Pelodiscus sinensis: one gene and its partner. The protein of the gene in region 1 purifies or fractionates together with the protein of each later gene. This does not show direct contact. Links are inferred from orthologs where the notes say so. Each region holds a gene or a part of one and is shown in the gene's direction. Other genes may lie near its edges.

What was found.
Region 2: the proteins of SLC38A9 (region 1) and LAMTOR3 purify together in Homo sapiens (affinity purification with mass spectrometry; 3 studies listed by BioGRID and IntAct, with this or other methods). This does not show direct contact. The link is inferred for Pelodiscus sinensis from reciprocal best matches to the Homo sapiens genes SLC38A9 and LAMTOR3.

What each region holds. Positions count from the first base shown.
Region 1 is NC_134716.1:96,826,987-96,843,005, forward strand, and holds the start of SLC38A9 (neutral amino acid transporter 9), read left to right. Parts: upstream 1-9,591; 5' UTR 9,592-9,789; intron 9,790-9,808; exon of another isoform or gene 9,809-10,043; intron 10,044-12,745; exon of another isoform or gene 12,746-13,533; intron 13,534-16,019.
Region 2 is NC_134715.1:23,352,795-23,368,567, reverse strand, and holds the start of LAMTOR3 (ragulator complex protein LAMTOR3), read left to right. Parts: upstream 1-9,346; 5' UTR 9,347-9,620; intron 9,621-11,316; 5' UTR 11,317-11,359; coding exon 11,360-11,368; intron 11,369-12,967; coding exon 12,968-13,002; intron 13,003-14,803; coding exon 14,804-14,862; intron 14,863-15,773. UniProt on the Homo sapiens protein: As part of the Ragulator complex it is involved in amino acid sensing and activation of mTORC1, a signaling complex promoting cell growth in response to growth factors, energy levels, and amino acids.

The sequences.
Region 1 (16,019 bases):
CCTTGTGCCCTGCTTGGAGGCCCTCTCCACGATCCACACTGCTGACCAGGGTGCTGAACGGCCTCCGGTGGAAGACAGGCTCTATCCCCCTCCATCACAGGCTGCCACAAGTTTGTAGTCCTATTTGCAAGGCTACACATGAGATGCCTTCAATATTGGCTCGCAATCAACTATATACAAACCCGACACAGCCTCACGAGGCATCTCACACTTCCTCCACCAGTACTGCAGTCTCTAGAGTGGTGGACATCTCCAGTCAATCTGCTTGCCAGCATACCCTTTCACTGGCCAGACCCCTCAGTCACCATAATGACAGATGCATCACTCATGGGCTGAGGAGCCCATTGTGGTGTGGCATCAATACAGGATACATGGGCCCAACACGAGAGACACCTCCACATCAACATCCTGGAGCTCAGGGCCATTTGCAGGGCTTGCGCCCTTTCCTTCCACTGGAAATGGGCAGAATATCCATGTCCTCATGGAGAACACACCTTCTATGTTTTATGTCAATCAACAGGGGAATGCCCGATCCCACTCTCTATGTGCCGAAGCAATCAGATTTTGGAACTGGTGTATTAGGAACCAGATAACTCCAACAGCCATGCATATACCGGGACAACAGAATGTGAGAGCCGACAAACTGAGCAGACATTTCTCAGATCAGCACGAGTGGAAGATCAATACCAATATCGTCCTCTCAATCTTCCGCAAATGGGGCTTTCTGACTATAGACCTCTTTGCAACACCTCATAACCACAAATGCCACAGATTCTTCTCCTGGGCAGGACTGGGCAAGAGGTACAAGGGGACGCCCTCCCCATTCGCTGGACAGCTCCCCTACTCTGCATTTTTCACCAGTTCCTCTTATCCCCAGAGTGATTAACCAGATTCGGTTTGATTGGGCCACAGTAATCCTAATAGCCCCTGCCTGGCCGAGACAATCCTGGTTCCCTTACCTCCACTACCTGTTGATACATCAACCCATCCCTCTCCCAATGGTGCCAAACCTCCTTACGCAGCACATGCCACCTCAACAACAAAACTCTGAAACTTATGGCATGGCTTCTTCATGGTACCAAAATGAAGAACTCACCTGCTCGGACAGAGTCCAACAAGTCCTACTAAATAGTCGGCATCCTGCCACAAGAAGCATCTATCAGAACAGATGGACATATTTTCAACAATGGTGCTCAATGCGCAACTTGCATCCCACTAAAATCTGTATACGCACCTTAGTCGACTACCTAATGGACCTTAGCGACAAAGGCCTCTCCATCAGCCTTTCCACCATCTACCTGGTGGCAAATACAGCTTTCCATGACCTGGTAAATGGCTTCTCCCTCTTCGCACATCCCATGGTGCAGCGTTTTCTCACAGGTTAACAGAAAATGCAGCAAAACCTACGCCCCCTGGTACCACTGTGGGACTTCAATTTGGTCCTTGACACTCTTACTAGTCCATCCTTTGAGCCACTAGCCACTACACCCCCACAATACCTTCCATGAAAGTGACATTCATAGTTGCAATAACATCAGTAAGAAGGGAAGGAGAAATCATGGCCCTCATGGCAGACCCACCTTTCACTACCTTTACCAGGGATAAAGTCATACTCAGACCTCACCCCAAGTTCCTCCCTAAGGTTATATCTGACTTCCACATAAATGAACCCATTTACTTACCTGCCTATTTCCCCAAACCTCCTGCCTCCCCAAGGAGGCTATATTACATACTCTGGATGCAGGGAGGACAATTTCATTCTATGTTGATAGAGCTAGGGCAACCAGGAAATCGGACAGACTCTTTGTGGCATGGTCAGGACCACGCACAGGAACAGCAGTTTTGGCACAGTGCCTATTCAAGGCTACATATGTACCGTTTATGAACTTAGGGGCAAACAGCCACCACAGTCCATCAGGGCTCACTGTACACGTGCGATGGCCACTACAACGGCCTTCCTGACCAATGCACCATTGGTGGACATTTATAGGGCAGCCACATGGTCCTCACAACATTCTTTCACACAGCACTATGTCCTACAGAAGGGGCCAATACCCTTCACATCTCTAGCAGATATGGTCCTTCCTTCTTCAACTAAAAAGATGCCAGTGCCCACCTCCATCAGGCAGATACTGCTATGGAGTCACCTGAGTGGAGCACCCACAGGGACACCACTCACTGAAGAAGAAGAAGTTACTCACCAGGTGTAGTAACGATGCTTCTTCAAGATGTGTGTCCCTGTGGGGCTCCACTACCCTCTCGTCCTCCCCTCTGCTTGGAGTCTCCATGGACTTCAGGTAGAAAAGGAACAGATGGGACTTGCACCACATGCGCACGCCACAAACAGCGGGGGGAAGGAGAGAGACACTAGGTGCGCAGGCGTGGTGCAAGAGGCACTGCTAACTAAAAATCTCCGATCAGTGGTGCGAGGATGCACTGAGACCTCAGTAGAGCACCCACAGGGACACACATCTCGAAGAACTATCATTACTGCACCTGGTGAAAACTTCTTCTTCATGCCAGGATGGTGACTTGAACAGTTGTGAACTAAGAAGCATGGTCCCCTTTACCTCCCAAAAATTGCTTTTCCCTAAATAACATATTACTAAAATACTGAAAATTGGCATAATCTAGGAAAAAACAAATTGTAAATGGAAAAGACACTGAAAGTTTTATAAATGCTGAATTGCAATTTCAAATTACCTGATTTCATAATAATTGAGATATAACTCCTTGCCAGAGGATGTTGTGAAGACTAGGACTTTAATAAGGTACAAAAAAGATCTAGATAAATTCATGGAGATTAGGTCCATCAATACCTATTATCCAGGATCAGTAGAAATGGTGTCTCTAGCCTTTGTTTGTTTGGAAATGGATGACAGGAGAGGGATCACATGATGATTAACTTTTGTGCTTACTTCCTCTGGGGAATCTGGCATTGGCCACTGTCAGAGTCTCTTGGAGAGCAGCGCCACTGGTGAGTGCCACACATCTGAACAAGCGCACATGACCTCATTGTTGATGCACAAGACAAAACTCTCTCCGCTTGTGGATGGAAAATCTTAGAAGGAACACTGGTAGGGCAAGGTGGAAATTTCAGCATATCTTTACTTTTGTTCCAGAAGTTAAAAGTAAAAAGCCCCTTTCTTTGGTCTGACCCAGTATGGCCATTCTTATGTTCTTATAATTTATATGTGATCAAGAGAAAACTTTGTTCTCCATTTTTGTTTTTTGCATGTGAATCATTTTTGGCATCTGCAACTTTGATCCTTTCACAAACTTTAGAATAACTCCTGCGCCCTCTCCCCCACATCTTTTCTAAACCACAACACTGAGTTTGCAAGAACTGATTGCTCAATCAACTTCTCTTTTTCTTTTGTACCACCAAAAGTTAAAGTAGTAATAGTCACTGAAAAAGAAACAGTTTTCTTGTGGTGCTACGTTCAGCTGAGGTTTGAAATGAATTGGATCAGCCTGGAAATCCTATTCAACACTTTTCCCTTGTTGTTACCTTACCAAAAAAAACCAACCAAACAAAAAAACCTGCAACCTACTTAATGATGTAGTGCAGCGTTTCCCAAAGTGTGATCCTGAATATAGACCCAATACTGGTCTTTGGAAACAAAATATCGGTCCTTAGAAAATATACAAATTATCACGCACAATCCTATTAATTTGGTACATTTAGTATTTTCCCGTGTGATGCGCACACGTTTTCATGCGGCTTAGTCTGTGTCATCGGTTTTTGTGTCACGTGACACAGCAGTCTCGGTTTGTTTCTGCGTGGTGCGACAATGTATACATCTTTTTAGGTTAACTGCTTAAGTTTTCTTCGTTTATTTTCAGTTAAATACACTCTTGTTTTCATCTTCAATATGGATAAATGGCTGAAGAATGTGACTGGACATACAACTAACAAATGTTCAAATGATGTGCAGCCTAATACAAGTGAGGATAAGAGGAGAAAAACTTTTTGGACCCACAAGTTTTCCGACAAGTATTTGAAATTTGGTTTTATAAGTTTTGGTAGTGATAATCATTTGCCATTATGTATAATCTGTCACGCAGAACTATCCAATGAGTGCATGAAACCATCAAAACTGAAATGCCATTTGGAATGCAAACATCCAGAATACACACAAGTAAGCCCATAGATTTTTTCATAAATAAGAAAAATGAATTATATTCTGCTAAAAAAAGCATGAAAAGTGCACTTTCTATGTGCTCTTCAAATGAAAACTTTGTTGGCTTCATATGAAGTTTCAAAACTAATAGCCAAGACAGGTTATCCACATACTGTTGACGAAAAGTTAATACTTCCTGAATTGTATATTATTACATCTCGTATTTATGGAGGAAAAAAAGGAAATCAGTTGGGTTCGCTGTCTTTATCCAACAATACAGTGAAACGTAAAATTGAAGAGATGGCAAAAAATACTGATGAAACTCTTGTACGTCGAATACAGAATAGTCAGTTCTTTGCATTACAATTAGATGAAAGCGCTGATATAGCAGAGGCTGCAAATTTGATGTGTTTTGTTAGATATGATTACGAAATCTCCATTCAAGAAGATCTCTTATTTTGTAAGCCACTTCCAACAAGAACAATGGCTGACAAAATTTTTAAGTTAATCGATTATTTTATTATTCAAAGCGATATTGACTGGAAAAAATATTTTGGACTCAGTGCTGGCCTGAGCCCTTTTTGGCACCCTGGGCCCAGGCGTGTGGTGCTTCCCCCGGGCGCAGGGCGCATGCACAGGCCTGCCTGTGGGGCGCGGGCCCGCCCCCCCTCCAGGATGCGCAGGCCCGCTTCTGGGGTGCACAGCACATATGCTGCCCATCCCGGCCCAGGGCAGCACTGCTAGCACACGCGCCGGGCCGTGCATAGCCCCGCAGCCGTAGGGGCAAGGGCACTGCTGTCCGACGCTGCGGGAGCCGGGCGCGTGGCTCCTGATGGCAGCTGCACGGGATGCTGTGCACCTCTTATAGCTGCCATGAGGCGCCCCCCGTGGGTTGGCGCCCTAGGCAGCTGCCTGGCTTGCCCATGCCTCCGTCCGGCCCTGGTTAGACTGAGCAGTGATGGGACTCAAGCAATGGCAGGGTCTTGCACTGGGCTTGTCCCGTGGATTCGAGCTGTAGCGCCAGACTGTGCATGAGTGTATTGTAGTATTCACAGAGAGGCACTATCTGTGAAAACTATGCCATCTCTTTTGAGTTCAGCTCTTCAAGAATGTGTGAAGCTTATAAATTATATAAAATCTTGACCTTTGAATTCCAGAATCTTTACTGCTTTGTGCAAACAATTAGGAAGTTAACATGAGCATCTCATATTACACTGTGAGGTTCGATGGCTATCGAAAGGAAACATTTTGAAATGACTCTTTGAAATGAAGGATGAAGTTTTATTGTTCTTGGAGCAACACTCTCCATCAGCAAAAGATGCTATATTTAAATTTAAACACAGGTTTCATGAATTTGATTGATTAACAATGGTGGCTTATTTATGTGACAGATTTTGTCTTTCAAATAAGTTAAGTCTGAATTTACAAGGCACTAAAATTAATATTTTCAAAGTTCACAAAAAAATTGAGGCAACAATTAAAAATTTTTTGTTTATGGACATAGGGAGTTAGCAAGAGAAACTTTAAATCTTTTTGTACTTTAACTGAATTACAAGAATAATATCCTGAAACTAATATCTCAGATGTGATTTCTGTAACAATCAAAGAACATCTCTTGGGGCTACCATCAAGCTTAAATGAATATTTTCCTCCAATTGACACCAGTAAAATGTGGATTAAGAACCTGTTTACTGTTGACACCAAAAATGAAGAAATATTACAATTGAATGCATCAGAAGTGGATCCATTAATTGAACTTTCCTGTGTCTCTGCCTTAAAAGAGATCTTTGTTAAACTCTCCAGCTGTGTCTAGACAGGCCAGTTTTTCCGGAAAATTAGCCACTTTTCCAGAAAAACTTGCCAGCTGTCTACACTGGCTGCTTGAATTTCCGCAAAAACACTGACTTCCTACTGTAAGAAATCAGTGCTTCTTGCGGAAATACTATTTTGCTCCCATTCGGGCAAAAGTCCCTTTTGCGCAAAGCTTTTGCGCAAAAGGGCCAGTGTAAACAGCTCAGATTTGTTTTCCGCAAAAAAGCCCCAATCGTGAAAATGGCAATCGGGGATTTTTTGAGGAAAAGCACGTCTAGATTGGCACAGACGCTTTTCCGCAAAAAGTGCTTTTGCGGAAAAGCGTCCATGCCAATCTAGATGCTCTGTTCCGAAAATGCTTTTAACGGAAATCTTTTCCGTTAAAAGCATTTCCGGAAAATCATGCCAATCTAGACGCAGCCTCCTTGATTGATTTTTGGTTTGAGTTGTAGAAATGAATATTCACATTTATCTGAGAAAGCAATCAAATTCTTAATGCCTTTCATCACAACATGTAAGTGTGAAACTAGTTTCTCGTCTTTGGTTTTCTTCAAAAATAAATACAGAAGTAGATTGAATGTTGAACCAGATTTGAGGATAAAACTTTCTTCTTTTGCTCCTGACAAAAAGTTGCTATGTGATGCAAAACAACATCACCCTTTCAATTAGTTCTCTTTTGAGTTATTTAAAAGCTATAAAGTGTACACATAATAAATGACTTATATTCAATTCATTAAATTATAAATAAACAAACTTTACAATTGTTGAAGCAAAACACAGGACTATGTAGCACTTTAAAGACTAACAAGATGGTTTATTAGATGATGAGCTTTCGTGGGCCAGACCCACTTCCTCAGATCAAATAGTGGAAGAAAATAGTCACAACTATATATACCAAAGGATACAATTAAAAAAAAGAACACATGTGAAAAGGACAAATCAAATTTTAGAACAGAAGGGGGATGCGGGGGAGGGGGGGAGAGAGGTAAATGTCTGTGAGCTAATGATATTAGAGGTGATAATTCTTCCACTATTTGATCTGAGGAAGTGGGTCTGGCCCCCGAAAGCTCATCATCTAATAAACCATCTTGTTAGTCTTTAAAGTGCTACATAGTCCTGTATTTTGCTTCAGCTACACCAGACTAACACGGCTACATTTCTATCACTATTTTACAATTGTTAAAATTCTACTGGTTAAATTGTAATTAAGGTAATAACAATAAGTTAGTCACTTAAGTATTTTATATCAAGATTTATATTATGTACTATTATTATTGTGAATAAATAATAAACTGTGAAAATTTATTCATTTTTCTTTCTTTTTTTTTAATATGCGTTTATATTTTTGGGCCGCAAAAAAAGGTACAGAAAAAAACGGGTTCCAACTATATAAAGTTTGGGAAACCCTGCTCTAAGGGATAGGGTTGGCACTGGGGGCTCTGGGGACTGGGCTTTTGGCAGACCGGTAACATTTTATTTGCACAGTCGCATGTTCATCATTTGTATAATGAATATGCAAATAAAATGTTGTTGGTCCGCCAAAAGTTTGTGACTGGGTTTGCTGTCCCTGTATCTAAAAGATTAGGAACCACTGATGTAGTGTAATGTTGAAATATTAAAGACACCAAACTTGTTACAATAAGATGGTTAAATCCTGTCTATGTTAAAAAAGTCTCAGTGGCATAGCTGTGTTAATTGTGTATCTGCAAAATCAGCAAGAAGACATGTGGCACCTTAGAGATGAACAGATTTATTAGGGCACAAGCTTTCATGGGTAAAACCTATTTTATCAGATGAACTGAAGTGGAAGTCACACAGGTAGGGGTGTATATATTGTGTTCATTAGGCTAATCAAGTTAGAGTGGAAGTTGCTCATTCATGGCATTTGGTGTAGAGATGTGACTATTAACAGGGGAAACTGCCTTTATAGTGTGTTAACCAATTAAATCCTTATTCCGTCCTATATTGTACTGACTTTGCAAATGAACTCATTCAGCTGTCTCCCTTTGTAATTGGGTTTTGAAATTCTTTTGTAACCATCCAATGTGATCTTGAGTTTGTGTTTTAATAGTTATACAACTTTAATTTTTTAAATCTTAGCATCTTCTGTTCTTATATACTTATTGCCCAACCTATCCATATTTTCCAACAACTATAAAAATTTAAATGTAAAACTTTTAAACACTGAGCTGCAAAAATCGATAAATATTCTAAAAGCTTAAAACTGAATGTAATCTAGCACTGTGTCAATTAAGACCATTTGACCCATGCAATTAACTCAATTAATCATAATTGCAATTTTAGTTACACTTTTAGAAACAGAATCAATTGAAATGTATTAATTATTTTTGGATATTTTTCTACATGTTCAAATATACTGATTTCAGTTACAACACAGACTACGCAGTGCACAGTACAATATCTTTTATGCCACCATGTCGGTCTTGATCTCCTGGTTTTCAGTTTCTGTCTCTTGCCTACAGAGGGTGAACTCAGGGCGCCCAGGCCACATAACCCACCCACCTGGGGAAGGGCTAGGACTGGGGTGTCCAAACTTTTTTCAAAGAGGGCCAGATTTGATGAAGTGAACATGCGTGAGGGCCGACCATTTTGCCTGACATTCTTTGAACCATTAAAACTAAATACAAATTAACTATTTTATGCAAAGTTTATTGCAAACGGCATACTTTTCATTTCATCACATGGATGACAAATCTAAACAGGTGTTAAATCACTCTGCCTTTCATATCTGAAGGCCAGATGAAAAAAAATTCCAGGAAGCTGAAATATATGTCAGGAACATTGTAAAGTACATTACATATTATTGGTAATAAAGGTTGTCTGTCAACTTTTAAGTTCAAAAAATATGAACAGGAACATAACACCAACTATACATGTTGTGTCCAAATATATTTATAACTGATTTAGACCAACTGACATTAACTGAGATTTTACAATGTATTCATCTCAATACATATGGATTCGTTGGGGGCCATAAAAGATAGATATTGCCAAATTACCTGGGGGGGCGTATTAAACCGGAACACAGGCTGCAATTGGCCCGCGGGCCAGACTTTGGACATGCCTGGGCTAGGACAACCCCTCTCCGCTCAAGGTCCCACCTCTTCTCTCAACTGAGCCAATGCAGAGTGGACGGAGAGGCACAAAACAACTGCAGCTGCCTTGCTTCCTGTCCCCCATCGCTGCCAGTCTGTGTGTGGGGCGGGGCAGGGCGCGGACCTCTGCTGCCGGCACCTTCCAGCCCCACTAGCCCCCTAGCTCCCTTCCAGAGCACTGAGTGAGGCAGCCCAGCGACAAGTGGACGCCCGCCTGGGCGCTCAGTGCGCGGAGGGGACGGGGCTCTCCGCCCAAGGCACTCTGGGAGATGTAGTTTCAGAGGGGTTTGCATTAGTGTCCGTCTGCAACTGAAAAAACCATACAGAAGCAAGGAACAGTCTGATAGCACCTTAGAGACTAACACAACATGTAGATGGTATCATGAGCTTTCGTGGGCACAGCCCACTTCATTGTTTTTAGTGTGGTTTTTTTTCTAGGAGATGTAGGTAGTCGCTCAATCCTGCTATTTGCCCTCCCCTAGAAGAGGGCCCGGGAAGAGCCTAGCGCAAGGCTCTCTGGGAGTTGTAGTCCGCCGGAAGCAAGCGTTCCCTTCGCTCGCCTGAGAGACTCTTCCAGTGAAAACTTCCGAGTCCGCGCGCCCTTTGGGCTCCAGCCGCGCTCCCCGGCACCCGCCCCGCCCTTCCTGTTTGCGCTTCGGAAACGCCGGGCTCTGGACTTCGGCCGGCCGGGCGGGCGCGAGGGAGCTGTGGTGGAGCGCAGGTCCCGGCTGCTGAAGGTAGAGCTCTCGCATTGATGCGTGCTGGGCCCGGCGCTGCCGTTCGCGGGGAGCCCTGTGTGGGGGGCTCCTGCCTCGGGCCAGCACAGCTACCCAGACACAGACAGCCTGTTATCGCTGCCCCCAGCCCGTAGACCCTGCTTTGGGCGCTGGCTGCAGGGTGCTGGCAAAATCCTCCCTCGGAGGCCAGGGGAAAGAGTTATGAGGAGAGGAGCGTAGCGTGGCAGGTAGCTGTTTCCATATGCAGAGGAAAGGTAAAATCCGAGCCCCACTGCTATGCAGGGGAGTTTTGCCATTGAGTTCAGAGGGGCTAGCATTTCACCGTAGATCTTTATTGCTTTTCATTGGCGGCTGCGATTAAAGTGACAGCCACGTTTAATAGTCGCAGTGACTATCTTAGAATTGTAGGTAACAGATCTTGTATCACATGGAAATGACAGCTGGAGCACAAAGCTTGGAAACGAAGTATCTTTAAATGAAGCAGTGGTCAGCATGAAACTACTTTAAACTGGACTGAACTAGGCTATAGCCACAAAGTTGTGGAGAGTTAAGTTTTTGTTATTTTGTGGTGTGTGTGTATATATATATAACAGTGACATAGAGCTTATTATTTATCTGCATTGATGAACAGTACAGCATGTATTGTGATAGCCATAAAGTCTTGCAATGCTCTGAACTGTGTGACTTACAGCATATGATACATATCTCTGTTAACAGGGCTGCCCTGTTTTACACATAGTGCTTTTTTACACAAAGTTGTAGAGATTGTATGTACTGTTGTAATGAAAATGAATGTGATTGTGCTCTATCACATCATAATAAAATTTAAGCTAGCTATGATAGCTATATATCTAGAATTAAGTGATTGATATCTTCTACATCTAATGTAAAAGCTGCATTGGAGAGATTAAAAGACTTGAGGGTCCACGAAGTGGCTAGTGCATTTCCTGGCTCTGTCTCATTCAGACCCTAGAACAGAACACACATTGATGAGTTTAAATCAGTCTTATCATCCAGATGTTGCCTATTCTGCTATTTCCCTTCACCCTAAGGAAGGTAGTACGAGTTGTGAGTTGGTCTGTGGAGAAGAATTTTTTTTTTAATTGAATGTAGTTTGTAAAAAATCTTTTCAGATGGTGTCCAGTAATATTTGCAGAATCTTGAGTTTTTAAAAAGGTTAGGTAAGTTACACATTCAAATCATTCTATTTTAGGCTAAGATACATTGGCTGACTACTGCCACATTTATTGATTTGTTTCAGATACACTTCCTTGGAGTCTGCATTAGGGATTTCAACTTGTAGTCGACTATACATTTAACCAATAAGTCTAGGCTTACTTACTGGGTAATCTTGTTGATTACATGCCTCTTCTCCCCCCCCCCCCCCCCCAACCCCCGCTCTTGCTGCCTCTGTATCAAAGTCAGCAAGAGGGAGGGAAACAGGAGCTGGCTTAAAAGCTGGTTCCCCTCAGCACCAGCTCGGCTCCGCAGTGCTGCTGCCTCCTGAGCTCTCCTTGGACAGAAACTACTCCATCTCTCATGGAGCAGCCTCTGTCTGCAGTGAGCCTAGGCCCACCGTGCATGGAAGTTGGTCTCCAGCAGCAGCCCCTGTCCACGGGAGACCCAGGCTCGCAGTAGACAAAAGCAGCTCCCTGGGAGGTGGAGCAGCTTCTGTCCACAAGGAACTCTGGCCCATCACAGACAGAAGCTGCTTTGCAGCAACCTCCCATATCTCTCTATGCTGATGGGGGGGAGGCAGCACTATGGAGCTGGTGCTGGGGGGAACTGGCTTTTAAGCCAGCTCCTGCTTCCCTCCCCCTTGCTGCCTTTGATACAGAGGCAGCAAGGGTGAGGCTGCTGCTGCCCCTTTTCCTCCCTCCCACAGTAGTCTATGTCTGCAGGGAACTTGGACCCCCACAGATAGGGGCAGCAGTGTGGGGTAACAGGTCTGTGTGGGGAGCTTATTTTTAAACTTGCTTCCCTCGCAGACTGGCTCCTGCCTGGCACCCTTTGCTGCTGCCTCTGATACAAATGCAGCAGCTCAGGGTGGAAGGGGGCTCCCTGGGAGTAGGCGCACTGGCTGCTGGCCCCACCTCTGGGGACTATAGAATAGTCGAGTAACCAATAAGAATTCATGCGGTTGTTCAACTATTCAATTCCCCGATATCCAACATACCTCGTCTACACCCTTTTTATGTAGTATTTTCTTTCACTAATCCAGTATATATTATGTTCTGTGATCAGTGAGATGGCCTGGAAATGGTTTAGTTAGGAATGATGCATCATAATTTGTCAATACTTCAGTTTCTTTTGAGTAGATTGTACCAATTTCATCTGACTACTGCCATTAACATTAAAAAACTACAAGTTTATTTCATTATAAAAATGCTATGAAATCTCTTAATAGGAGTTATGTTTAAGCAGACTGGGCCATCTGTGGTTGGTTTCCAGCCAAATTCAAAACTGGTCAAAGAACAGAATTTAGGAAACTAGTTTAAGTACAGTAGCTAAATTGTTAAAAGCCAACCCACCAAACCAAATCTCACAAGTCATATTTGAAGTGTGTTAAAAAGACATGCCTTAAATATGTTTAAAATGTAGTTCTGACATAGTTTAGCTTTGTTCATAAAGACTGGACAAACCATAATGGGCCTTTTTACATTAGGGAATCTTAGAAAACTGTTTAACATAATATGCACAGTTTCAAGAGCTTTTGTAACAATGGACGCCTCTTACTCCCAGGGGAATTATGTACCAAAATTTTTAAATTCTGTACACATTTTAAAATTTTACAATTTTTTTGTGTCAAAATAACACTGCATAATCACTCCAGTTTCAATTATTTAGAGTTTTATTTCAAAATATCTGTCAGTAAGTAAGTCTGTAACAATACAGATACTCACAGAAATTCCCTTAGAGATAGAAACAATCCTGCCCCTAACCCCACTACTTTTCTGCCTCCTTCCTCAAGCCCAGACACTCATACTCCCTCAACCTACCTCCCCCCTGGCCCACACTCACACACATTCGTTCCCATGTTCAGCCCTCACCTCACCTCCCATGGCCCAGAGACACTCCCTTGTCCCCAGAGCTCAACTGCTGGGACCCCCCCTTGCCAATATGCTCTCACTCCTCCCTTCCCCAGCTGCTGCCCTCCCAAATGAGTTACTAACACCCCCAGAGCTCAGGTGCTCCTTCCCTCAGTTCACACACCCATGTCCCATATTTCCCAGGGATCCAGAGGGAGCAGCTGAGTCTTATGTCTCCATGGAATTTCCTGTGCACTACTCCTTCCTTCAGGGTGTGCTGGGAACTGCACCTGTTGGGAAGTCCTCCAAGATCCTCCCCCTAGTCTTGTCTTCTATTTGGGAGCTGGGCTCTCCTGGATACTGTGGCCCCTAATGGTGTTCAATAGCTTTGCAGACCATTTCTGTGGGGGAAAGTAGGAAATTATGTGCACCTAACATTTCTATGCTGCACAGTGGCACAGAATTCCTGCAGAAATAACTGAGTGTTAATGGAATTTTGTTGTTACAAGTCTTCAGGAAGAGTAGGACCATTAAGTCTATCTGTTCTGTTGTGTGGTTGTATTACCCAGGTTAGATGTCTGTTCTAACAGTTTTGTATCTGTCACAGGGTGGGCACTTACTCCCATATCACCTCCTGCTGGTCAATTTGGGAATTGGTTCTTCAACCCTGGAGCGACACCTTTCAGCTAGTGTTCCACCTGCTGGTACCATCTAGGTCAGAGCTCCTGCACTCTAGGGTCCTTCCTTCAGGCTTGGTTTGTTGGGGGCAGGAGACAATTACTCCAGCCTTTTTATGGCTTCTACGTATCACCTCCATTTAGTTAATGAGTGTTAAAACATACATAAATACTGTTTCTAGTATTTGTTTTTAGACCAGTGCAGATAGGACCTAAAGAAAACTATCTCCAGCTAACTGTAGTTGCAGACTACCAACCATTTCACCTTGATTACATATTAACTTGAAAGCCATGTTGATCCAAAGCTAGGAGAAAAAGACTTTACCTTTTCTTCTGATTTAGGATTCCTCAAGATGGCCTCAAAGGTTTGTGTTTACTGTATGATTTGTTTTCATTACAGATTGAAACTTCCTAGGGTACAAAAGTCATGAGTCACGCACTCAAGTTACAGGGTGCCGGATATGGGGTTCAAACTCTACCTCTTCCCCTGTCCACTACACCGAATCTCAACCGGGCATCTTTACATAAAATAAAGAAACACTTTGGCTGTCTACACTACGGTGATTTATCGGAAAAAGGTACGCAAATTGTGAAGCGCAATTTGCCTACCTTTCCTCAGTAGTTTTTTCAGAAGACTCTTCAGAAATTTGGCCTGTCTACACTGGGCCAGATTTCGGAAAAGTCTCCTCTTTCGGAAGAGCCCTTCTTCCTCTTTCGGAAGAGCCCTTCTTCCTCTTTCGGAAGAGCACTTCTTCCTCGTGGAAGGAGGAAGACAGGGCTTCCAAAAGAGTGTCTGCTTTTCCACAAAAAAAGCGGAAGAACAGACGTGTTCCCTGGATGCAGGGGAGTGTTTCCAGGATACCTCCTGTATCTCAGAAAACCCCCATAGTGTAGACATAGCCTGCAATAACACACAAAAGAGTGCTAAGCATCAACCAGTACAAAGATCTGTTCCCTATAGCAGTGATCTTACACATACTACTGAAGCCCAAACTTTTTCCAGCTGTAGACATGGAGTAATAGCTTTGTAGCACAGTTGAACTGATTAAAGCTTTTTGGAACTCACCCGTGGCATTGTGAGGTTTAGGAAATTAACTTCAAATATTTAACAAATATTACCCGTCCATTTTGAAAGGCAGTCCTAGGACACTTTAGATTATAAACTTTCCCAGGTATTTCTGTAGCATATAATTCACATAAGCATCATGTGCACAGTTTACAATAAAACCCTTTTGAATTCTCAGACAACCCACAGGTTTTTGATCAACAGCATCCATCTCTTACCACAAGTTCACATATCACTCACAATTGTCAGCCAGTTATCTCACCAAGTACTCTTCCTGAAGTGAGACATTCACAATGTAGCATGCTTTCTATAAATTGCTAGCTTCTTGACAGCTAAACTTAGGCTATATCTACACTAGCATTTTTGTCAGTACAACTTATGTTGCTCAGCTGTGTGGGAGGGGAAAAAACTACACCCCTGACTGTCATAAGTTGCACTAAGAGAAGCACCAGTGTGGACAGCATTATGTCAGCAGATGCTCTCCTGTGGACATAGTTACTACCACTTGTGGGAGGGAATTTAATTATGCTGATGGGAGAGCTTGCTCTGTCAGCAATGAACAACTATGAGAGCAGGGAACTGGACTTGATGTAAATGTGTAACTATTGAAATTTTCAGCAGTTTCATGTTTATAACCCCTCTCCTCTGCTTTTTAATATCCCTAATAACTACACAGAAGATCTTATAGCTGTAAAGTCACTAGTGTAGATATAGCTAACAAAATTGATTTGTAATATGCTTTGAAATTCTTGGGTGAAAAGCCCTAAATAGGATTTCTCTGGCATTTCACAGCTGTCCTATATCTTATCAAAGGCTTTTTCATTAGGTCAGTGATTCCCTGAAGCTTTTTCCCTTGGAATCCCTGGCTATGTCTAGACTGGCATGATTTTCCACAAATGCTTTTAATGGAAAAGTTTTCCGTTAAAAGCATTTGCGGAAAAGAGCGTCTAGATTGGCACAGACGCTTTTCCGCAAAAGCACTTTTTTCAGAAAAGCGTCTGTGCCAATCTAGACGTGCTTTTGCGCAAAACAAATCTGAACTGTCTACACTGGCCCTCCCTTTTGCGCAAAAGCTTTTGCACAAAAGGACTTCTGCCTGAACGGGAGCAGCATAGTACTTCCGCAAGAAGCACTGATTTCTTACATGAGATAGTCAGTGTTCTTGCAGAAATTCAAGCGGCCAGTGTAGACAGCTGGCAAATCTTTCTGCAAAAGCTACTGCTTTTGCAGAAAAACTTGCAAGTCTAGACACAGCCCCCATGTATACCCCTGCCTTTATACTGAGGCACAGTATAGTAGTCATGTCTATTTTTTTCTGTCTGTGCTCATCTCTTTCTCCACCCTCTCTCCCCCTTTTCTATTTTCTCTTTTTTTATTCCTATTTTTCCTCATTTACAAGGAAAATTCTGCAGTGTTTTTGTTCCTCTCTCTCCTCTAGAGATCACCAGAAGCCCCCAC
Region 2 (15,773 bases), on another chromosome or scaffold:
GAACAGACTGGCTGGTGACAAAGCAAATAGCCAAACCAAAACATTTTTGGTCATTTGAAAGAGGTAGTGTTCAAAGTAGATATCAGATGTGAACTTCAAAGCTGAGCTGAAAACTAAAACAAAATAGGCTTTCTGTGCTGAATGTCCCCATTAATCAAGTTTTGAGGCAGAGAGAGGAATGGTGTAATCACATTTATCTGCTTATTTTAGAAATCACCCAACTGCTTGCAGTTTGCCTCAGACAGACAGAAAGCAAGCAAACAAATGCGGATTCCCTAGATTCTAAGTTATTCAGAAAGTATCATAAATATGCTCATTTGGAGAACATAACATCAAAGAACTTGTCAAATTCTTTATCTTGTCTTAATAGAGAAATTTTTTCAATGGTTTTGAACAAAAGCACAGGCCTCTTGTTTCATAGATACACCTGTGTGCTTGTGGGTGCCATATTTTCCGTGAACATAAAAAGAAATAATTTTATTGTGTTTATAAAATATTGTGGCTGTGAAGCCACAGTTAAATATTTTTAATAAAGCTGCTTACAGTAAATATATAGTTACCATATGGTTAGAACTAGGCTGCTACATTCCATTGGATTATAAATTATTGGAAAATTAATTCTTTCTAAGAATATTGTGTTTCAAAAACATGTTTGTTTGAGGAAAAAAATGCTGCTTCACACGTAATAGATTTAAGTATTTGCAGTCTCTTATTGAGACCAGGGTAGGCATTGGGAAAGCATGGGTATACTTCCTGTAGAATAAAGACCTGCCTATCTTAAAGGTGATGTGCAAGGATTCTTTTAAAGTTAGCTATGTGTCCTTTTTTTTTTCTTTGTAATGTATTTGAAAAGTAAAAGCCTGGTGGTTTGAGGGGGCTTTTGTTTGTTTTTTGTTTCTTTTAATTTATGGTTAAAAATATCAGGCATGTCAAGTCTCTTCTTTGGTTTTGCTGAAGGATCTTCTGGGTAGCTCAAAGTATATTTCTTGTGAGAAAGATGACAACCAAAGGGGTAAATATCCTTTATCGAAATGTTCATTAGTCATAAGTTAAATATTATACCAAAACCAGAGGTTTTTAAGCAGCCTAACTAAAAATCCCTGCACTTTCCAGCTGCTCAGATTTTATTCTGGTCTTTTGTGAGTCAGTTACTCCACTGGTTCTCAGTCATTGTTGTTTCCCAGGGTTAACAGAACCTGAATTTCTCAACTGAAAAAAAAAAAAAAAAAAAGCTGAGAAAAATCTTTTAACAAAACAGATCTTGGTAGGCCAATGTGATGTATAGTAAAGAAGTAAAAACAACCTATTTATTTCCTTTGCAAAGTGACTCTGAAAATCTCCCCATAAAATAACATCTGTTTTAGTCAGGGTAGAACCCTGTTTTAATACCAATTTAAGGAAATATATATTTTGCACATTTAGTAAACATTTCAGTGTAAGTTCTGCTTTCGTAAAACTTAAGTGCATTTCAGACTTTTAAAAGACTTATTTGTAAGATAACAAAAGACAGTTTATAGCCATTAAAATACAGTTAGCACTTTATTTGAAATGGACACAGCTTAAACATTTTCTTCTGGAAATCTTTGACCTACTGTTGTTATAAGTAACAAACCTGAATACTGTTGTTGATTGACTGGAAAACACAGTATCTATTTTTCAGGTTTATTTTGTAGTAGTTTCACCGATTCCCCTGAATAGTCAGTCAGTTAGTGTCCTCTGTGTGGATTTTTCACAAAGAAACAAGCAGAGGAATACATAGGAAAATGTGATAGCAAAACCAAAACTGGCAGGAAATCTCAAAGGTAAGATACATTATTTGAATCTTTTGCCCTTTTCATTTAATTCACGTAGGCTTCAAAGTGACTGTATCTCTAACAAAATTTAGATAACTACATGGGGGAAGCATGGTCTGATGATAGAATGAAGACTGAGAGTCAGAAGCCCTCTACCCTTTTCTACCATATATTTACTCTGAGGGAGCTAGATGAAAGACACTATATTGTGAATGTAGAATATTATTACCCACATTTAGACAGCTGGACTGCAACCTTCTCAGTTTTTTTCCAAAGTGAACAAACATAACACTCCACAAATATATTGTAAGTGTAATAGAGATATTTCATTATTTAAACCCCCTATTTTCATGTCCCTTTAGTAATTGTGGTTCACTCTAGCAGAAACGAGAAAATCTGGAGCTCGGATTTCTCAGGACTTTGGAAGTAATTTTGCTGAAAATGCAGTGCTTAACAATTTTATGTAGCCATATACTCCCCCTTTCCTCCTTAGGACTTGAGGTTGCAAGCTGACTCCCATACACAAAATCCCTGAAGCTGCTTTCATTGAAATCAGTAGCAAAATTTCATTTAATTGAAGTCAATGGCAAACATACCATTTATTAAATACTGGGTACGTATGTTATACGTATCCACATATGCTGACAAATTAAGGTACTTTCTGAAACTGTTAGATACAGGATATGTGATGCTTGTATAAAGAGAGTATTTCAGTTTAGTAGGTGACAGTGATGCAGTTGTTCTTTGGGAATGTCACTGGAACTCAGAGGATAGGGGGAGGGAGGGAAGCAAGTGGAATTAACCATTTTCAGGATCAGGCCCTTAGCAAAGCCACTGCATTTTACCTTTAAATCATTCTTGATGTACAGTAAGGAAGAGTTTAACCTTAAACCTCTGTTTACAATTCACTTCCATTCCATATAAGCCATTTTAATTATACCAGAAGCTTCCATGATCTGTTTGAGGCAGTAGATAGCAGTTGAAGATTTTACAGCAAACCTAACTCTCTGGGAGTTACTTTAATAGCACCAAATCAACTGTCTTAAACTATGTTCCTATGATTATTTTTGGGAGGGGATGGTAGGTGCTCAACTTTTATTAAAACTAATCTGCTTTTTTCATATTCTGCAAGAATATTTTGTCTCTATTCCTGACTTGGTTTGTTTGTTTGTTTGGGTTTTTTTTACACATAAGTCCAAATGTTCAAAAGTATTCACAATTTGTTGTGAGCTGGATTTCGCAGAAGAGCTTGGCTCCTATTTAGACACTTAAAGTAGTCAGATTTTTCAAAAGTTCCCAAAACTCAGCAGCTCCTGTTTAGTACAGCCAGAGCTGTTGGGTGTTGATTACCTTTGAAAATCTACCCCTATGGTCTTGGGGGTTTTGAAGTTGTTCTTTGTATTAAAACCATCTAAACTGGCAAAATACTGAATATTCACAACTACTGTTTGTACATTATAAAATACCGACAATCTTGCATTACGCAACTTAATTTCCCCCTTTGCATATGGTATGTAATACATATAGTGTCCTGCAAATCCATAGTCGTATGATCCATGCACTTGCAAATACTAATGTATGCATACACCTATATATCTGTAAAATGCATTTCCAGGAAATGGGCATTAATGGGAAGTAGAAAGTAAGTCATGAACTATCTTGACATGGTCTATGAGCATAAATACATTTTAACCTTCTTCTCTGTTACCTTTCATGCATTTCCTTCTCCAAATTGAGCTGTTCCTCCAAAAACAACTAACATTATTGAATTTCAGCTAAAAAAAAGTTAATCCATTCTTGCTTTTGGGGTATTAACCAATATAGCAGAAGTGTATAAAATCTTATGAAAATGGATAAGCTTTCCACAATACTTGACGGTTGTTAATTGACAATTTTTCAGTTGTGCTTCTTTAAAACAAATGAAGCTTCGTGATGGGAATTTTCACTTTTGTCCTGACCAAGTCAGCCTACCACTTGAACTGTGGGGAGTGTAATCCACTGAGTACAGGCAGTCCCCGGGTTACATACAAGATAGGTACTGTAGGTTTGTTCTTAAGTTGAATCTGTATGTAAGTCAGAACTGGCGGTCAGTTTCAGCAGCGGCTGAATCTGGACGCCAGTTCCGACTTACATACATTCAGCCGCTGCTGAAACTGACCGCCAGTTCTGACTTACATACAGAATCAACTTAAGAACCCCAAGCGTCCCCAAGTCAGTTGAAATTGATCAGCAGCTGATTCCAGGAAGCCCGGGGCAGAGCAACTCTGCCTCGGGCTTCCTGTAGCCCCCCCCCTCACTGCCCGAGCCCCCCCCCCCCCCCCCTCCCGCGGCTCTGCAGACCAGGGAGACACAGAGAAAGCCCCAGAGTACACGGGCGGCAGGACCGCGAGGTCCCGCAGTCCGTGTACTCTGGGGCAGCCCCGTTCGTAACTGCGGATCCGACATAAGTCCGGGACTGCCTGTACCCTGTGGGAAGCTTAGGTTCCATGATCAAGAACCAATACAAGGTTCCCTTTCTTCTGTTAAATCTGCATAAGCCATGGAGATGCGTTTTTTTCCTTCCACATAGTGGAGTAGAGGAATTGAATGAACACAATGATCAGTATGTCAAGTTTTGGATTAATGGAATAAATTGCTTTATCTACGTTTCTAACCTCAACAGTTTTAGCTGTAGAAGTTGGAAGTGGGGGGACCTCATAGGAAAAACTTGGGAGAAGGAAAATGAAACTCATCCTTTTTGCCTTCATGAAGATCTAGTCTGTGTGTTTCAGGGAAAGCAGGTGAAAATAAGACCACTTGGTATCCCCTCTTTTAGATGACTTTGTAATCTTGAAGGAAAGTTTCAGGTTTAAGACTCCCATTTTCTGTTTGGTTACTCACTATTAAAGATAAGAATTTTTTTCAATGTGTTTAAATAATTTCCCTTTTAAGCATGTTGAACAGAAACATAACATATTCCTTATATTAAGGGTTATGTGATGTGTGTTTTTAAGGCTTCTTTGCATATATAATTTTCCTGGCAAGTACATGATTCCTTTTCACTAAATACCAAGGTTTGCTGGTCTTGGGACCACTAGACTTGTGAATACTGTGTGTGCATGTCTATAGGTGTATATATTTCTTTTCCAGCTAATACCTCAAACTTTGTGATAGTTTAATATTGTACCACTGTAAATTTGCACAGAACAGGGCTTCCATTAGGCATTACAACTATCCATCCAAATTTGAGGGTTCTGGTGTAACTAATCTTTAAATACTTTTTCCCCCAATATGTGGGTAAACATTCTCATTAGAGTCCGTTTTTAAAAGAAAATGATAGCCTTTTGCGCTTCCCAGAAATCTGAAATCTCACAAAGTAAAAGCATTTCTCAACTTAAACTGGGGAAGGTAGTTAGAAATGGCTTACATTTCAAATGACGTTTCTGAACTTGCTGCTGGCATTGGCTGTATGGTCAGTTGTGAAACTGACATTTGGAGAATGTAAAATCATGGAAAGCTTTAAAAATCTCAAGGAATTTAAATGTTTGTTCTTTAGACTTTTAAAAAGCAGTGCAATATGGGAAATGTGATTAGGCTTTGCAAATCATGTTCAATACACCTAATAATGTAATGGAAGCCTTGCAAAGGAAATCTGGTGAGATGAAGGTGGTATCTTAACAAAATTCTTATTTTGTTTTGTCTAACTCTATGGCATTTCCAAGATGTAAAGGTTAAGTTTAAAGAGACTTGCCTTATTTATAATATCTAATGTAATATTAGACATATCAAAATAAAATTATTTTCAGTGTGTAAATGTGCAAACATCTTATTATTTACATGTTAAAGAAAACTTTAACTATTCATTCTAGTTTTAAATTCAGAGGCTTGTGTTTTATTTATGCTCAGCTCATGTAGATACTGAACTAAGAATAGGCACATATTTGATCTTATAAGATAAATTATTTCTTTTTAAGACAAAGTTATCTAGCTACTAAAATATTTCATCTTAAATTCTTATGTATTTGGAAAATATTGCTGGTTTGTTTTATAAATTAAGACTTTTCTGCACAGCCATTAATTACCATAAGGAAAACTGCCTACTTTCAATAAACGTGTTTTCCTTTCCCCTGAAAAAAACAACTTTCAGTCATAAAGTGTATAGTATCATGAGCTTTTGTGGTCACAACCCACTTCTTCGGATGTCTGAAGAAGTGGGTTGTGTGCACAGAAGCTCATGATACTATATATATAATTTTTTAGTCTCCAAGGGTATGTCTACACTAGTTTTTTTTTCTAAAAAACTTCAATTACATCCACACTGCAATCGCGTTCTTTTGGGAAAAAAATCGAAAGAACTGAGAGGTTTTTCCGACATTGGTTAACCTCTTTCTACAAGGAAGAAACCTTTTTTCGAAAGAGCTCTTTCGGAAAAAAGCGTGTGGGGACAGGAAAGAGGGAGTTCTTTTGATTTTAATAGGGTCCATATTTTACCCCTAATCCTGCTCATTAGTTATGCATTTGTTACACAGGGACCTGGGTCGTCAGCATCTGGGACCTTAGTGTCTAAAGCCATGTGCCTCTACAGCTTGAGCTAAAACCCAACTCTCTCTCAGCTAAGGCTGTAGAGCAGCCTTCATTCTCATTTGTCCGTTGTTCTCAGTGCTTCTGGGTTACATGTATGTCTGAGTTTAACGTTAAAAATGGCATATGATTTATTATGGTTCTACATGTATCCTTTCTTTATAAGTAACAATGTTCCTCTTCAAATTAGAAAAATAAATAAGTAGCACAAGCACATATGTACCCCTCATCCCTTACAATTTTATATTAGATCCCAACCTGGATTTAATATACTGTATGTCTACAGTTTATATAATTAAGACACATAAGCTACTTTATTTAAAAATGAGTGAACAGCAGTGATAATGAAAATGAGCTACTCAGAAAAGTGGTGTACAAATAGAGTTCGCTATTTTGGGGAGATTTTTTTTAAAAAAAAAAATCTTCCTGGGAACGATCATGTAAACAGCAAAAGTCTGAACTTATCAGAAATGACAGGCTCAAACAAACTCCATTTGGATATTCTGTTCTTGAGTACTAAAAGAAGAAAATGACTTAAATCTTGCTGAGAAATTCATAAACTGATAGTAAACTTCCACTCTTGTCCTGATAATCAGATAAAAATTAAGTAAACTGCATCATGCATTAGGTTTCGGTAGGTCCTTCATTCTGTGATTTTTTGCACCATTACAAAAGTTACAGGGAAAAAGGATGCACTCTGAAAAATATCACCATCTTCCTCCCCAAGATTCATCTGATGAAGTGGGTTTTATTCAGGAAAGTTCATGAGCCTATGTATTTTTGAGTGGTCCCCAACCTTTTGGGGCTGCCAGGCACCTGGGGGTGGGGCCATTCACATACCGGGCACCCAAGCCGCCCAAACGCTGCACTACCGGGGCCGGCGCTGCTCCTGTGCCATGTGCCCAGGGGCAGACATGCCCAGGAGTCGGCAGCACCCATGCGCCGCGCACCTGGGGCCGGCACCACTCCTGTGCCGCGTGCCCAGGGGCAGGGACGCCCATACACTGTGTGCCCGGGGCCAGCACAGCCTATGCACTGTGCGTCTGGGGGCGGAGCCGCCCATGTGCTTCGCGCCCGGGGCTGGCACTGCCCTTTTGCCATGTGTCCGGGGGCGGGGCCAGCCCCAATCACTTATTGGGCACACTGTGCTGGGGAGCACTGCGTTGGAAACCACTGCTCTAAGCCCTGGTCTACACTAAGGAGTTACTTTGAAATAACTCCCCATATTTCAAAATAATAAGCGGAGCGTCCACATTACCAAGCCTATTATTTCAAAATAACAAGCTGGGTATTTTGAAATCTGTACTCCTACTTTCCATACGGAGAATACTTATTTTGAAATATTTCAAAATAACTAACTACTCCCCAGAGTAATTTGAAGTAAGTATTTCCCAGTACTTCCTAGGGCTCTAAGACGAGGTAGCGTATCTACAACAATGGAGCCTGCCTCGGATTAATTTTGAGGCTCCTGTGTGGTCGGGGACATGCTATTTTGATTGTTATTTTTGGAGTTACTTTTAATTATTTTGAAATTTCCTACTGTGGACATTAGGGATGTTAAGTTGTGATTAATTAGCTAAATGAGTAGTCAATGGAATTTCCAATGCCTACTCCATTAGTCAATAATGAGGGGGGCGCTTGCTACCCCTGCTGCAATTCTGCATTTTAAATGCAGTGAGCTCTTACTATATTTAAAATGCAGAGCCGTAGCAGTCCCAGGGCTGGCATGAGCCAAGACTGCTTAGTCCTGGCTCGTGCTGGTAGGGTTGCCAGGTGTCTGGTATTCACCTGGACAGTCTTGTATTTTCTCCTCCTGCCTGGTAAAAAAAAAAATTCAGACTATTAGACACCTGAGATGTCTAGTATTCTCTGAATTTTTCCCTGGCCAGGAGGCAAAAATGCTGGGCACATGGCAATCTTACAAACACTCAGTGCCTGGCCTCCCACTCCCTCGCATCCCCCCAGCTCCCAACACCCCTAGCCCCTCTGACTTCAGCCCCCATGCTTACCTGGTTCCCCAAGGCTGCTGGCACAAAATAGCTACTGGCCAAAAGACCTAAGGGAAGCAATCTTCCCCTTGGGTCTTAGTGCTCAACCACTTCCCTGTTCCTATCCATGCACTCACCCTTAAAGGGGACATGCTGTTTTTGGGCTTAAGTCCTTGGAGTCTTTTTTTGGGGGGGTTGGGGGAGCCAGCAGCTTTGGTTTCCCCTCACTTTCCCCTCTCTTCTCCCCCCCCACAGAATTTTTTCCTGGTGGGTTTTTTGGGGGGGGGGAGGAGGGTTGGTATTTTTGTTTCAATCATCTTGCAACCCTATGTGCTGGCCCCGGAAGCTACCCCTGGTGTGGCTCTGCAAGTTCTTACTACAAAGGCAGAGCCCGTAGCAGGGGTAGCTTCGGTGTGAGCCAGAACTAAGCACACTCTTCCCTACCCTTATGCAGCACCGAGACTCAGCTTTTAGGCATGTTCCTCACAGCACCAAGGGAAGAAGCAGAGTCATCTTGATTACCCACAAACACAGGTCATGTAATCTTTGTCACTGGAGATATTTAAGGGTGGGTTGAATACACATCTATCAGAGCCTGGCTAGACTAGGGTTTCCCAACCTGTGGTCGGGACCCAAATATGGGTCACCAAGTCTTCCTCACTTGTGGAAATGGATCCCCATCTGGAAAAGGTTGGGAACCGCTGGCCTAGAGACGATGCTGGGCCCTGAGGCAGGGGCCTGGACACTCTCCAGCCAGGTCCCTTCCAGTCCTAATGGTCTCTGGTTCCAGCCCTAGCAGACAGGCCCCCCGCACTGCCCCGCCCCCTTAGCAAGATCCCTGCAGCACCAGCACCGCCGGCTTTGCGATGCCTGACAACCAGGGCTGGGCGTAGCTACGGAGCATGCTCAACAGCGCGAGCTCCGCAACAGGGTGCGCGCGCGCCTCTGGACGCCTCCAGGGCCCGGCCGCGGCTCAACGAAGTGCAGTCACATGATCGCCTCCGCACCCTCTGCGTTGGGGCGGAAGCGGGCAAAGACGCCGCCGTGGTTGCGCGCTCCCACTCGCGTTGCCCTGTCACGGCTCTCACGGTCGGGCATGCTCCGTAGCTACACGGGAGACCGAGCTGACGCTACAGCCGGAAGTGACGCCGGCAGGGGTGGGTGGGGCGGGAGGTCTGTGATTGTTTCGTGCGTGGGGCATCACGTGATCGAGGGCTAAAGGAGAAGCGGCCGCTCGCTGCCTGGGCTGTTGTTGCGGGGGATCCCGGAAGCGACCAGGGTAAGGGAGCAGGGGGGCTGTAGCTAGTGTTATTGTAGGGCCTACTGTATTGATTCCTCCCTCTATGCGGTGCGGGGAGTCGAGCTATAGGGGCCCGGTCGGGCCCGCCTCCCCCCAGCGCCGCCACAGCCCACGGCGCGGCCCCTTTCTCGCTAGCCCCCCCCTCGCCGTGCGGGAACGCCCGGGCTTGAGCGTCTCCCGGCCCCCCGTAGGGTCAGGTAACCCTGGCCCAGCCTGACCGGTGTCTGTCCCGTCTGTGCTAGAAACCTGCAGGGAGGGGACCTTCCAGCCTGCTCTGGAAACCTGGCCCGGGTCTCCGCTGCCCCGTAGCCAGGCTGCCTTCGGCCCGTTACTGCTTCTGCTGCTCTTAGAGGATACAGACAACGATTGATCTCAGTCCCTCTAGCAACCCTTTTCTACCAGCCCCCACCCTCTTTTTCTGTCAACAGCCCCAAGCTCCTTGTGTGTTTTTTTTTTTTTAAATCTTTCCTCATAGAACAGATTTTCCTCACCTGTCCCTCCTTTTTTCCTCATGTAAGATTGTCAGTGCTTTTGCGGAAATACTATGCTGCTCCCGTTCAGGCAAAAGTCTTTTTCCAAACAACTTTTGCGCAAAAGGGCCAGTGTAGACAGCAGAGATTTATTTTCCGCAAAAAAGCCCCGATCGTGAAAATGGCGATCGGGGCTTTTTTGAGGAAAAGCATGTCTAGATTGGCAAGACGCTTTTCCGCGAAAGCACTTTTTGCGGAAAAGCGCCCGTGGCCAATCTAGATACGCTTCTCCGAAAATGCTTTTAACAGAAAATTTTTCCGTTAAAAGCGTTTCCGGAAAATCATGCCAGTGTAGACGTAGCCAGAGAGAATATCAAGAAATAATGTATACTTACCTTAACCTCACACTCATTTCCCCCCCCCCCTTTTTTTTTTAGCGCCCAATCCCTGAAGCTAGATTTGCACTACAAACCTACATTGGCATAAAAATGTAGCTCAGGGGTATGAAAAATCCACATCCCTATGCCATGCAGTTGTCCTCTTAGCATATGCACATCATGCTTCAGGTGGCATGTGACCAGGATTAATCACCAGATTTGGTCTATTGGTTGGCACATTCACTAACCTGGCTTGGTTCAAATACTGAAGGGGATTCTGATCCTTAACCCCCATCCCACGTGATGCAGTTATAACAACCTAACTCTTGGTGCTGTCTGATAGTGCTGTCTGAGAGCTTCTCCTGTGAACATAGCTACTGCTTTTTATGGAAGTGGATTAACTTTGTGGACTGGAGAAGCTCTCCTGTCAGCATAGTAGGACCTTAACCTAAAATACTACATCTGGACAGTTGTGCCATTGTAGCTTTTTAAATGTAGACTTGCCCTGAGACTCTATCTTATTTATGCAGCTTTTGATCCATGATTGCCCCTGGGACTACTTTTGAGGAAGGCCCTCTGGAGAAGGGCTTGTGTGCATCTTGTAAGACATTTTCTTTTAAGAGCAGTTCAATGCCCAGAACTCGCTCTCTTGGGCAGGTGCCTTGGGCATTATATTCTTCACGTTGGCAGAGGAAGGAAAGCTAGGGAATGCTAGAAATTAATAGGGATGTTGCTCCCTCCTTAATTTTATGTGAGACTAAACAAAAAAAGAGAAAGAGAGCAGATAAAAGCTTATGTGCATGACTATTGTTGGCTCTTATTTTTCAGGAACTTTGACAGTACATCTGATTTATTTAAAAAGTTTCAAAACATGGCCGATGTAAGTATTTTGCAAATATGCTACCTGCCCTAAAAAGCTTACTTTACAGACCCATCCTATATGCTGATCCATATGGGCGTGCCTTTATGAAGCCTCACTCAGTGCAGTGGAACTGACTTATGGCAGTAAAGCTATGCGTGAGTTATGGGGTTGCCAGATGGTTTAACCAAAAATACTGACGACCATCCCCCTCCCCCCCCCCCCCCCCAAAAAAAAACAGAGGAAAAAATTCTGTTGGTGGGGAAAAAAGGGGGGCGGCAGGGGAGACCAAAGTTGTTGAGCAAAAAAAGGGGGGGGGCCCTGAGAGTTAAGCGCAAAAAAACAAAAAAACCCTGCATGGTCCCTTTAAGAACAGGGGCTGGGCTCTGCCTCTCTTAACAGGCTGCAGGTATAGCAGCAGAGTGAGGGCCACAGCAACAGCAGCTTTTGCTGAGTATGCTCAGTTGCATAACACATGCTCAGTACGCCCTAGGTATGACTTTCTGAGAGGCAGCTGTTTGCGACGCTACTTCGGCCATCTTCTCTGCCTTTTCTCCCTGCTTTGGACCAGACAGCTTCCCTGCAGAATGAGGTATTCGGTGGGGGAAGCAGGCAGGCTGGGCCTGGTTGCTTAGGGTTGCCAGGTGTCCCTTATTTTCGCCCCCTGGCCGGGAAAAAAATCAGAAAATACCTGACATTTTAGGTGTCTGGTATCTTCTGAATTTTTTTACCAGACAGGAGGCGAAAATACCTGATTGTCTGGGTCAATACTGGACACCTAGAAACCCTAATGAGCTAAAGTATTTGTAGGACTAAGTCCTTAGACATCTATAAACACTTTGAAAGGAAAATAGGCCTTCACTGTCTGAGAATGACGTTTCAAAAGCTTCAGGGGGTAGCCTACTTAGTCTGTACAGGATAAACTTAAACAACAAATAATTTGTTAGTCTTTAAAGTGCTACCAGAAAATGTAGATGGTATCATGAGATTTCTTGGGCACAATCCACTTCTTCAGATGACCAGAGTGTTGGATGTCCAGAACTAAATGACATGATTATGCAAAAGGAGGGAGAATCTGCTCTTTGGTCAGTAACATGTGAAATAATTATAGCTGGAAGATGCTAAAACAAAGTTCAGATGTGCTGGGACATGCATTTGTTTCAGCAAATGTATTCAGATGTTCAAAACGCTATGTAGTTAGTGTGTTAGCATGAAAGGTTATATTTAAAACACTTCGGGAGAAGTGTGAAATGCAATAGTGTGCTTGCTGCCATTTCACTTAAATGTACTTTGGTTGGTTAACAAACTATGTACATTCTCAGAGCTTCTGAAATGATTAACAGAATTAAATGAATAAGTAATATAAGTTCTATATATATGCAAATTCTGGAACACTGGCTATTTTTATATAAAAGTACCAAAGAAGGTGTTTGGGGGTTTTGGTTAGATTATAATTAAAAAATGTGTCTCAGTACAGTTTTTAAAAAATACTTGGTGGTAGGAAGAAACAGAAAGTTTTAAAAAATGACATGAATAGTTTCTATTGTGATAAAATTGAGACTGTTTTATACATATTTTGAAAATAAAACATATTTCATAACTTTGTTTTTTTCTTTATAGGACCTGAAAAGGTTTCTGTACAAAAAATTACCAAGGTAACCTAATTATCATGCTACAGTATTCACTTTGTACTGTGTGCTGTTTTACAATTAATGTATGATAACATTTATTTGGATTTTAATGGACTTCAGTGAAAGTAATCCAACAGATTGTCCATACTGTCTGGATATTTTTTTTAAATGATATATTTAAATTTATAGGTTCCTATTGTCCAGGGGTGGGCAATAATTTTTGGCAGGGGGCCATTTCAAGATTTTGGAAAGTGGTCAAGGGCCACACTTTTCTGTGGAGGGGTGCAAGGTCTAGGATGAAGATTGGGCACAGGCGGGCGCATGGGGTAAGGGACATGGGTGCAGGAGACAGTGTGAGGTCTGAGAGGAAGTTTGGGCAAAGGAGGAGGTTGTGACCTGGGTCAGGGAATAGGGCTCTTGGGTCAGTGAGGTGGTTTGGGTGCAAGAGAGGATTCTGGCCTAGGACAGAGGCACTAGGAGAGAACGCAAAGTCTGGGAAAGAGCTGTGACCTGGGAGAAGAGGATACACACTACAGATGGTGTAGGTGGTGACTTGGGGCAGGGGATTGGGGTGCAGGATCTGGGAGGCTGTATGGGTGCAGGAGAGGATTCTGGCCTGGGGGAGGGGTGAAGCAGGGTGGGGTACAGGCTCTGGGAGGCAGTTATGGCCTGGGGCAGGGGGGTGCAGTGTGTTTGGATGGTGACCTGAGGGAGGGAGTTGGGGTGCAGGACGGGCAGGGTGCCAGAGGCAGGCTCTGCCTGGGAGGTGCTTTTTTAAGCCTTCAGCACTCCCAAGGCAGGCTGGACTCCCTGCCTGCTGAAGCCCCAAATCACTTACAACTGCAGGCTGCAAACCCCACATGTGTCTCAGCTCCAGGATAGGGAAGAAATTTGCGCTGCTCCCATCTGCCAGGTCAATCTCTCAGATCTTATTGGCTAGTTGTTTCTGGCCACTAGGAGCTGAGAGATTGGCTGGGGTCAGTTCCTATTGACCAGTAATTTCTGGTCAATCGGAGCTGAAGATTGGGCTGGGGGTGAGGAGATTGCAGGAAGCCTCCCCCTCCCTGCAGAGTAGAGAGATGCATGGAGTGAACTTGAAGCTGTGTGCCTGAGGGTCCCGGCAGGGGCAGTCCGCAGCCGGATCCAGTGGCTTGCAAGGCCAGATTCAGCCCCCTGGCTGTATTTTGCCCAGTCCTGCTATAGTCTGAACAATGTTTATCTGGCTGCAAAAATCTATCCTTTGTTAACCCATCTTCTAATAAGACACTTATCTTGAAACTTAGTACATTGTATTTTTGAGTGAATTAAAAGTCAGTTTAAAAAAAACCTATCCATCTCTCCATTCCAAAAGAAGGACAATATTCTTCATTTTAAGGGAATAGTGTTTTAAAAAGGCTCTTGTTACTGGAATAACTCCTGTATTCAAGCAACACGTCCTACTGTCTTTCTGGAGACTTGGCAATTCTTGGTAGTTTCCAGTTTCTCAGTACCGTAAGTAGCTAGGCTAGGTCAGTCATTAGCACCATTAAATCATTGTGCTCTGGAACTGCGTGCAAATACCGTGAAAACTGCACTTCCTGGAATAGCAGTTCCTTTTCTGAAGCTGCAGGACCTCCAGACCTTCCAATATCATTCTGCTTGAACTTCTAATAACTGTCTGCCTTTGGTCCCTTGGGTGATCACATAACAAAAAGCTAGTTTAATGGTGGGCGCTTTTTGCACATCTCTCCTTGCTACTTCCCACTTTGGTATGTGTTTGCTGAATAAAAATGAACTGTGCTGCTAGCATGTCAGCTTGGTAAAAACAACACTTTGTTTTCTCTAGTGTTGAAGGTCTTCATGCTATTTTAGTGTCAGACCGAGATGGTGTGCCTGTTATCAAAGGTAAATCATAAGTCTGATTGTACATCTTCTGTATAATAATAGACATTTTTAATTGAAAGACAAAAACTGGCTTCCTAATAGAGACAGGACTCTCTTCCTCCTGTCTTTAGTTTACTGTAAATATTAGAGGTTGATCTAAGCATTAAGTCAAACATGCTGAAATTTGGGATGTTTTAACAAGGATTTATTGGACACTAAGTTATCTCTCTTGAGAGCATTCTCTATCTAGGTATATGCAGCGTGTTTAAAACCATAGTCTGTAGGCACGTCATGTCATATCCTCTGTGAAGAGAGTTGGAATCATGTAATGCGTTCATACCATAAAGCTGCACTCATATTAGTAGACAATGCCAGGATTGCTTTAGCAGTAGTTTCATCCTAAGACTGATATGACCAAATGCTACCCACTGATAAATGCAGCCATTTGCTGTTGACTTAATTCTGAACGTGTTTGTGTTGGGGGCTATGCTATCCTTACCTTACTTTTGATCAGTAACATGAGATGTCTTGTGCTATGGGCACAATGGCGGAAGTTAAGAATCCAAAGATTCAAGTTTCTGTAGATGGTTTTTGGGTCCCATCTCATTTACGGACGCTCAATAGGAGTTTCATATATAAGTGAACCTGAAGGCAGACCTATGACATGAACATGATCTGGGTGAAATGGACTGGGTCTTGCATGCTCCTGGAAGTGAGACAATCAAACACAACAGCATCAGCACAGATCATGGTGCAGCAAACCAGTGTATAGAAAATAAACGATCCTCAGGACATTAGGAAAGCTGGCTGGTGAAGTGGTGATGAAGCTATACAGAGTTATAAAGAGCTATACATGCATCTTCCAAAGCACATCAGATGAGATTCATTTTTGAGGGAAAGTGGGAAGCAGGTAAGAGCAGTTTTATATGGAT